Linked DNA regions of Daphnia pulex. The protein of the gene in region 1 interacts with the protein of each later gene in a biochemical or structural test. Links are inferred from orthologs where the notes say so. Each region holds a gene or a part of one and is shown in the gene's direction. Other genes may lie near its edges.

Region 1 (4,084 bases):
GTTAGCTGACAACTTAAAAAAAATAAGATACAAGTTTAAACGAACGAATATACGTTGGAAGTTTTATAAAATGCAAGCAAGAGGAAAAATATTTTTCAACGTAACGCTATTCAATGTTATTTTTGAATTTTGTATTCTTTCATGATTCAGAAAAATAATTTACGTGCGTCATATGGTTACACAATAGACAATTCAGCTATTGGCTCCTGCAGCAAGGGGGGGGGGGCGTTGTAGTAGGTGGTTAACTGGTTATTGAGTGTTTACTCTTTATTTTAAAACGTCATTCTAGTTGGCATTTTAATATTTTCTTTGGACGTTAAGTCTCAGACTTGACAATGTTCCCTACCCGAGTCGAATGAAAGCTTCCCGTTCTAGTATCGGAATTTAAAAGTTATTAACAATAACATATTTACTTTAACATTTTGTATGTCGCTTTGACAAAATTAGTTTTTGGTTTCGTGTAGTGTAGTTACTAAAACGAGAAACTACAAGAACTTTTTTAATCTGACACTAGAAACGGCACTAAAACGGAAAAATTTCCGGGCCGACCCCCGACACTAGAACTTATTTTATTTATTTTATCAAGCGACAGTGGAACGGAATACGGATATAATTGAATTTTTCTAACACTAAAAAATTAATCTAAAGAAAATATTAAAATACTAACTGGAATGACGCTTCAAAAGTAAACACCTATAAACGCCAACGCCAAAAGCCAACGAGCCCCCTATCGGCAGGGGCCAACAGCTGATTGTTTATTGGCTCGCTCCCGGATTCCGGAGGCCAATAGATTTCTCAATGTACGATTCAAAAGAAAAAGAAAATAGATTTGACCACCAACAACCTTTCAGCAATAAATTAACTGACAATTCCCCTTACTGTACACTAAACTGCTGGACAAGACCCCTTTCACAGGACAACATTTACTTGTTTCAATTAAGCCCCTGTCGGTATTTCTGAAATGTTGTCTCACGTTTCACGTATACGTCATTCATTGTTAACTTGTAATACATAGTGAATCTGAGAATGACAAATAAATAATTGTACCTTTTCAATAAAAATTTATCCTAAACACATGATTTCTTTTAGGGCACACTTTATAAGAAGACAGACCGCTATTCACTTTTGCCTCTTCGACAGCAGAACGTTTTTCACTATGACACTAGTTTTGGCTTCTTGGCTCTTGCTATTTTGCTCTAATCAGATGTCTGTTGTGATTCGTTGATGAATTTTTGAAAGGAATTTTCTGATTGGTGCACTGCTACACACACACCAGAGTGCTCTCGCCTAGACGGAAAGCCGGAAAACCAAAAAATCTCTGTTCCTTAACAAACCGTGCTAAATATGTATTACAACATTCTCTATTGTCGCATGTTTAATTTTTTTTGGGATTTTTTTGTTTATCAATTATCAATAAATTCCTCGATTACACAGAAATTACAGCGCACGCCGTTTGGCGACGTTTTTTTATCAGTCGCTGGGCCCGGTGCTTTGCAGACGCCAAACGGGTGTGTTAGAAACTAATTTACTACCGCAGTACCGGCTACGTTTCTTATTCATTTCTTGTTTCCTCTGCGGGAAATCAATTTGCGATCTGTGATGGCTACCAGCAGATTAATTTCCATTTCCAAATTTGTAAGCTTTCCTAACAACCTGCCATTGGGTAAGTGAAGACCTCAAAATTATGTCGTAAAAAACTAATGGCACCTTCAGTGTTCATGCAAACACTATGAGTATTTAAAAACAGACTGATTATTTCGATCTGTCTTACTCTATTTATTATAATGTGCAGAGTTACCATGTGAAATAAATATTTTTAGTATTTATATATAACTTTGCAACATAGGCAAGTTTTCATTACGTCATCTTTCAACATCAAGAAGGTGTGATGGTTATGTACATACCAAGTACGAGGTTAAAAATGGAATCGCCATTGTCAAACTTGACTCTCCAAACTCCAAAGTCAACACACTCAATGTTGAAACCATGACTGAAGTCAAAGAGATCATGGACATGATTACTAAAGATACAAATGTGCAAGCCACTGTGTTGATGTCAGGTACTTTTTCAAAAGCCTGTTGTTGTACATTTTTGTGTTATTAACCAAATTTTAAATCATCAGGAAAACCAGGTTGTTTCATCGCTGGAGCTGATATTTCAATGCTCCAGAAATGTAAAACAGCTGAGGAAGCTTCTCAGCTTTCAAAAGGTAATCACTTGAGCTAGGTCTTAGTTGTTTAATTGTTTGCTGTTTAATTTTGAAAACTCATGCAACCTCTACTTTTTTAGCTTGTCAGGATTTGTTGATGGAAATGGAACACAGTAGAAAGCCCATTGTAGCTGCAATCATGGGCAGCTGTTTAGGTGGAGGACTTGAGGTCAGATTATTACAGTTGTATGAATCAAAATTGTCTCATAATCATCAATGTAAATGTTTAGGTTGCCATGGCTTGCCATTACAGGATTGCTGTGAATGAGAATAAGACTGCTTTGGGATTACCAGAAGTACTTTTAGGTCTCTTGCCTGGTGGTGGTGGTACTCAACGCCTTCCGCAGTTAACATCTCTTCTTACTGCTCTGGATATGATCCTTACTGGCAAAAATGTCAAAGCAGACAAAGCTAAAAAGCTTGGTCTTGTTGATCTGACTGTGCAGCCATTGGGCCCAGGATTAGATAAACCTGATCATCAGTAAACATTGCCAAAGAAAAAATATGTTTGTTTTATTGATTGTTATACTTTAATTTTTTTAGAACTTTGCAACATTTAGAAGAAGTAGCTGTACGTACTGCTGGAAATTTGGCCTCTGGTTCATTGAAGGTTAAACGTGAAAAACCAATCACTGATCGTTTATTTGCGGCTGCATTGAAGTATAACCTGGTGAAAGATCAAATTTTTCAAAAGGCCAAAGCCAAAGTAATGAAGCAAACAAATGGGCTGTACCCAGCACCTCTGAAGGTAAAATAAAATAATGCATCATTAGAATACCTTGTAACTTTTGAGTGAATGTTGCTTTTAGATTCTAGAAGTAATTAGAACAACTTTAGATAAAGGATTGGAAGCTGGATATGCTGCTGAAAATCAAGGTTTTGGACAACTGGCAGTCACTAAGGAATCACGTGGATTAATTGGTTTATTTCATGGTCAAACTGAATGCAAAAAGAATAGATTTGGGAAACCAATTTTGCCGACGAAGTAAATATTTTTTAATAAATTATTCCAGTGTATAATCTTTATTACTTCGAATGATTCTAGGACTATTGGGATAATAGGCGCTGGCTTAATGGGTGCTGGTATTGCCCAAGTTTCTGTTAAAGGATTTGATGTTTTGCTTAAAGATGCTGTACCTGCTGGTTTATCTCGAGGCCTAAATCAAGTATATGCGGGTTTAGACAAATCCATGAAAAGGAGAAAAATTACCAGGTATAAAATATTGTTTTGTTTCGTTTTTTTTTTTTTTTTTTTTTTTTTAATTTCATTGGAGAATAACAAAAGGTAAACATAATTTTTTTATTATCAGTTTTGAGCGTGACCGTATTGCCTCAAACTTAACGGGTACCCTAAATTACGATGCGTTCAAAAATTGTGACATGGTTATCGAAGCTGTGTTTGAAGATTTGAGCCTTAAACACCGTGTTGTCAAAGAAGTAGAAGCGCTCATCCCAGAACACTGTATATTTGCCACGAATACTAGTGCCTTACCAATTACAAAAATAGCAGAAGCCAGCAAGCGTCCGGAAAAAGTAATTCGAAATTAATTAAATGGCTTTAATGCATACATATTAATTTAATTAATGTATAATTTTTGGGGGAATAGGTCATTGGTATGCACTATTTTTCTCCAGTCGATAAGATGCAACTTTTGGAGATTATAACAAATCCCAAAACATCGCGTGATACAATTGCATCGGCCGTTGACGTGGGACTACGACAGGGTAAAGTCGTTATTATAGTAGGGGATGGTCCTGGTTTTTATACTTCACGTGTACTTTCATTCATGATGGCTGAAGCTCACAGGTAGATGTTTAAAAGTGTTTGTGCTCATTTTGATTTCCTTTACCATCAAACTACTATTGTTTATTTAG
Region 2 (4,330 bases), on another chromosome or scaffold:
ACAAATTGTCGAAATGATTCATACAGCCTCTTTGGTTCATGACGACATGATTGATGCGGCTGACAGTAGGAGAAACAAATCCTCTGTGAACAAAGTTTGGGGCCCAAGAAAGGTGACAAAAGTCAACATTTTCGAAACATTTTCCCTTTTTTTTTAATAATTCCTTTTTTATAGTCGATCGTAGCGGGTGATTATGTGTTTGGGCGTTCGATTGAGATGTGCGCTGCAATCGAAAACCACGAAGTTTATAACTTGATAACTAAGGTAGTAAAAACGATAACGACGATTCATTCATTCAAATCTTCAGAACGCGAAGCTAATTCTTATAAACAATGATGCAGATTGTTTCTGAATTGGTTAGTGGAGAACTAATGCAACTCGACGGTAGCGCAAACGCAGAGGAGAGGTTCGAGCACTACCTGGAAAAAACCTTTAAGAAAACCGCTAGTCTGATTGCTAATAGCTGCCAAGCAGTACGACATTCCTTAAAATCATTAGAAAAATATAAGATTCTTTAATCGATCAGAATAATTGTTGGTATCAAGGTTTCGGTTCTCGCTGGAGCTAGCTCAGCTACACAAACAAGCGCTTTTCAATTTGGTCGGCAACTGGGAATGGCATTCCAATTGGTTGACGACTTGTTGGATTTTGTTTCCACTTCTGCGCAACTGGGGAAACCAGCAGCAGCTGATCTACGCCTTGGACTGGCCACTGCTCCAGTTTTGTATGCTGCACGGAAGGTACGCAGGACTGGTTGGTTCAGTTTTGCCAAGTTTTCGAAACTTTCTAAAATGATACAACTATTGATTTTAGTTTCCAGAGCTTAATGCGCTTATTCTAAGAAGATTCAAAGAGCCAGGAGATGTTGAAACCGCCTTCGACTTAGTCCTTCGTTCTGACGGATTACAGCGAACTAAAGAATTGGCTGGCCAATATTGCGATGACGCCGTGACTCAATTAGCTCAACTATCGCCATCGCCTTATCAACAAGTTTTATTTACATTGACCCACGAATTATTGAACCGGATGAAGTAAGGATCGAAAAAAAAAAAAAATACTAACCAATCACAACAATATTCAAATACTTCTCGTGTTGGGTAAATTTTATTGCGATTTCCATTTGTATAAATGAACACCCAAATATTGGAGGGAAATAATCATATAAACGAAATAAATACTAATAAAGTGAAAGAATAAAAAACTAAGTATAATTGTAAATCCTCACTACATTATATTTTTTTAAACGATAGCAAAAACTGTTAAAGGCTGAAATTAAAGTATCAAAGTTAAAAAGAAAAATATTTCCCCATAAGAATTTAAATTATGGATTCCAGAATTAGCTCTTATTGCACACAGCAAAACAAAAACTCGTTTCCAATTGCAGTCCAGTCAGTCTACGATCCTATTTGCATACTCAAATTTGGAGCTTTTGATTTTCCCACTCAATTTCTGAGTTGCCAGTTTGTCAAATACAAAATAGTTCTCGAAAGCCAGTTATCCCCACTGCTCACCGGAGAGCGCTGACATCGTTGCTAAAGCAAATTAGCAAACACGAGAAAAAGCAAACAGCTGTAGGTGTTCTGCATCCATAAGATACTCTCGTTTAAGGATGGCTGCCCAAATTTCTCGTGTAAATGCGGTTGCATTTCTTCGAACAGGTAAAAATTAACAAAATGCATTTTATTTTAGGGCGTGTATTTTTTCTCAGTTTTGAAATCACATTAGTGTTTCGCCATTTCTGTTTTCATTTTCCTAACGTCGGATTTTCGTCACAGTTGTGATAACTGATAAGTCACTACCGGTATTTTAACTGTTTTATTTTTCCTAAACCTTCTCAAGGAACGCGCAATGTTTCCACCGGAATGCCGGCCCTTTACGCGGCTAAACAGAAAACCAAACTTTCATTAGCCAGACCTAACCAAAAGAATATTGTGTTGGTTGATGCTGTGAGAACCCCGTTTTTGCTGTCTGGGACAAGTTATGCGAAACTTATGCCTCATGATCTGGCCCGGAATGCATTACTGTATGTATTTCAATGCAAATAATTTTCCTTTGATAATGTAATAAGCAATTACTTACAGGGGTTTGGTTCAGAAAACTGGGCTTCCCAAAGAGCTTGTTGAATACATTGCTTTTGGCACTGTGATACAAGAAGTCAAAACTTCAAATATTGCCAGAGAAGCTGCTCTTGGAGCTGGTTTCTCTGACAAGACACCAGCTCATACAGTCACAATGGCTTGTATTAGTTCAAATCAAGCCATGACAACTTGTAAGTGTTCCCTTTTGTATTGTCAGGATATTTCTGATTCTTACGGTTGATTCTTGTATTAACTAGGCATTGGTTACATGCACTCCGGAGTCTACGACGTTTGTGTAGCTGGTGGCGTTGAGTTTATGTCGGACGTACCCATTCGTCATTCCCGCAAAATGCGCGGCGTCATGCTCAAAGCAAATAAAGCTAAAACATTCGGTCAACGCCTCTCACTACTAGCTCAGCTTGATATGAAGTCTTTGATTCCTGAGCTTCCAGCTGTAGCAGAATTTTCTACCGGTGAAACAATGGGTCACTCTGCCGATCGCTTGGCTGCTTCGTTCAACATAAGTCGACAAGATCAAGACGCTTTTGCTCTTCGTTCACATCAGCTCGCCCACGATGCAGCTGAAAAGGGCCTACTTTCTGATATTGTACCTTATCAAGGTATGCACGTCTTGATTTTCCTAGTTCTTACCGTGCTTACATTTTTATAAATCGATAGTCCCTGGCCAAGATAAACCCATCACTGGCGACAATGGTATCCGAGTTTCTACATCTGAACAACTTGCAAAACTAAAGCCAGCTTTTATCAAGCCTCACGGAACAGTGACTGCAGCAAACGCGTCTTACTTGGTACGTTTTGATAACCTTATTGTGTGTTTTAACTGTTGCTAATGCGAAATTTTTCTGTCAGACTGATGGTGCTTCGGCATGTTTGCTGATGACCGAAGAAAAGGCTAAGCAGTTGGGACTGAAACCCAAGGCTTACCTAAGAGATTTCATTTACGTCAGTCAAGACCCGAAAGACCAATTGCTGTTGGGTCCTGGTATGTAGGATATGTAGTACTCACTTAATTTTATAGTATAATTAATTAATAATTAATAATTTTATAGCATATGCTACTCCTCGCGTCCTGGACAAAGCTGGACTAAAGATGAGTGATATTGACGTGTGGGAAGTCCATGAAGCTTTTGCTGTAAGTGTTGATTTTCATGTTCATGAATCGGATAATCTAATATAATCCACGTCTCTGCAGGCTCAAATTTTGTCCAATCTAAGCGCAATGGATTCGGATTGGTTTTGCAAGACCTACATGGGTCGACCTGGTAAAGTTGGTGCTCCTGATATTGACAAGTTCAATTTATGGGGTGGATCTCTTTCAATTGGTCATCCATTCGGAGCTACAGGTTTTTCCACAATTTTTTTATCTTATTAAAATATTGTCGGTGACGTTTTCCATTATTGATTTTTAGGAGTTCGACTGGCGATTCATGCGGCCAATCGATTGATTCATGAAGACGGTAAATACGCCTGCATTGCTGCTTGTGCCGCAGGTGGTCAGGTATGAATGAAATTTATTTATTTTGGAACACTACGGCACTTCGTAATCCACCGGTGGGGATCGTCATGTATTTACTGCATATGGATTCTTCCCAGTGCGATCTTGACCGTGCCAATAGAAAAGAAATCCAACTCTCAGGGTTCCAGATGTTGCGAGTTTCCATTTTGGAACAGTATATGTTGGGTACAATTTTTTATGATATCTTTTATTTGTTGCAGGGCGTTGGAATGATCATTGAACGGCACCCAGATGGCAAGTTATAAACCAGTCTTATCCACAAGAGAATTAAAAGCAAACTGCAATGCAATCTTTCATCCAGCTCTCATTTCGAGTGCATTCTTTAGAAAACTATATGGGCGATTTTTATTATGTAATATCGCCTTATAAACGATTTTTTATGATCGAATAAATGGTGAAATAGCAAATTTTTTGACCAAAATCACTTTATTTTCTAAACACTATTCTAGGTCTCACACAAATAGAAATTAGCCTAAATCATGAGGCTTTATAGTTGAAGTTTCAATGGTAACATTTGCATTTGATTTCTGAAGCAGATTTTTACTAAACCATTTCGGTCGAGGTTTCTCCACTTCAATCACTTTGTTATCCTATAAAAGAAAAAGATATTGATGAGGAAAGTTTGAAATTAATATTACTCTACATTATTATCTAATAGTTAATATATACCTTGAAGAATTCATCATTGAATTGATTTTTCTCTCCTTGATATACA

What was found. The genes of interacting proteins can lie anywhere in the genome.
Region 2: the proteins of trifunctional enzyme subunit alpha, mitochondrial-like (region 1) and trifunctional enzyme subunit beta, mitochondrial-like are reported together in a solved structure, tested with the Homo sapiens proteins (2 studies listed by IntAct, with this or other methods). The link is inferred for Daphnia pulex from reciprocal best matches to the Homo sapiens genes HADHA and HADHB.

Annotation. Positions count from the first base shown.
Region 1 is NC_060020.1:8,450,979-8,455,062, forward strand, and holds the start of trifunctional enzyme subunit alpha, mitochondrial-like, read left to right. Parts: upstream 1-1,272; 5' UTR 1,273-1,346; intron 1,347-1,434; 5' UTR 1,435-1,599; coding exon 1,600-1,663; intron 1,664-1,846; coding exon 1,847-2,059; intron 2,060-2,122; coding exon 2,123-2,209; intron 2,210-2,289; coding exon 2,290-2,378; intron 2,379-2,439; coding exon 2,440-2,690; intron 2,691-2,752; coding exon 2,753-2,957; intron 2,958-3,018; coding exon 3,019-3,194; intron 3,195-3,254; coding exon 3,255-3,422; intron 3,423-3,519; coding exon 3,520-3,742; intron 3,743-3,816; coding exon 3,817-4,016; intron 4,017-4,084. UniProt on the Homo sapiens protein: Mitochondrial trifunctional enzyme catalyzes the last three of the four reactions of the mitochondrial beta-oxidation pathway.
Region 2 is NC_060022.1:3,662,742-3,667,071, forward strand, and holds trifunctional enzyme subunit beta, mitochondrial-like, read left to right. Parts: upstream 1-1,498; 5' UTR 1,499-1,609; coding exon 1,610-1,658; intron 1,659-1,839; coding exon 1,840-2,023; intron 2,024-2,081; coding exon 2,082-2,269; intron 2,270-2,335; coding exon 2,336-2,698; intron 2,699-2,756; coding exon 2,757-2,887; intron 2,888-2,948; coding exon 2,949-3,081; intron 3,082-3,148; coding exon 3,149-3,231; intron 3,232-3,291; coding exon 3,292-3,442; intron 3,443-3,508; coding exon 3,509-3,597; intron 3,598-3,815; coding exon 3,816-3,860; 3' UTR 3,861-4,022; downstream 4,023-4,330. Other genes in the region: all trans-polyprenyl-diphosphate synthase PDSS1-like, read left to right, coding at 1-112, 175-264, 342-473, 546-740, 814-1,035; 39S ribosomal protein L32, mitochondrial-like, read right to left, coding at 4,083-4,205, 4,285-4,330. UniProt on the Homo sapiens protein: Mitochondrial trifunctional enzyme catalyzes the last three of the four reactions of the mitochondrial beta-oxidation pathway.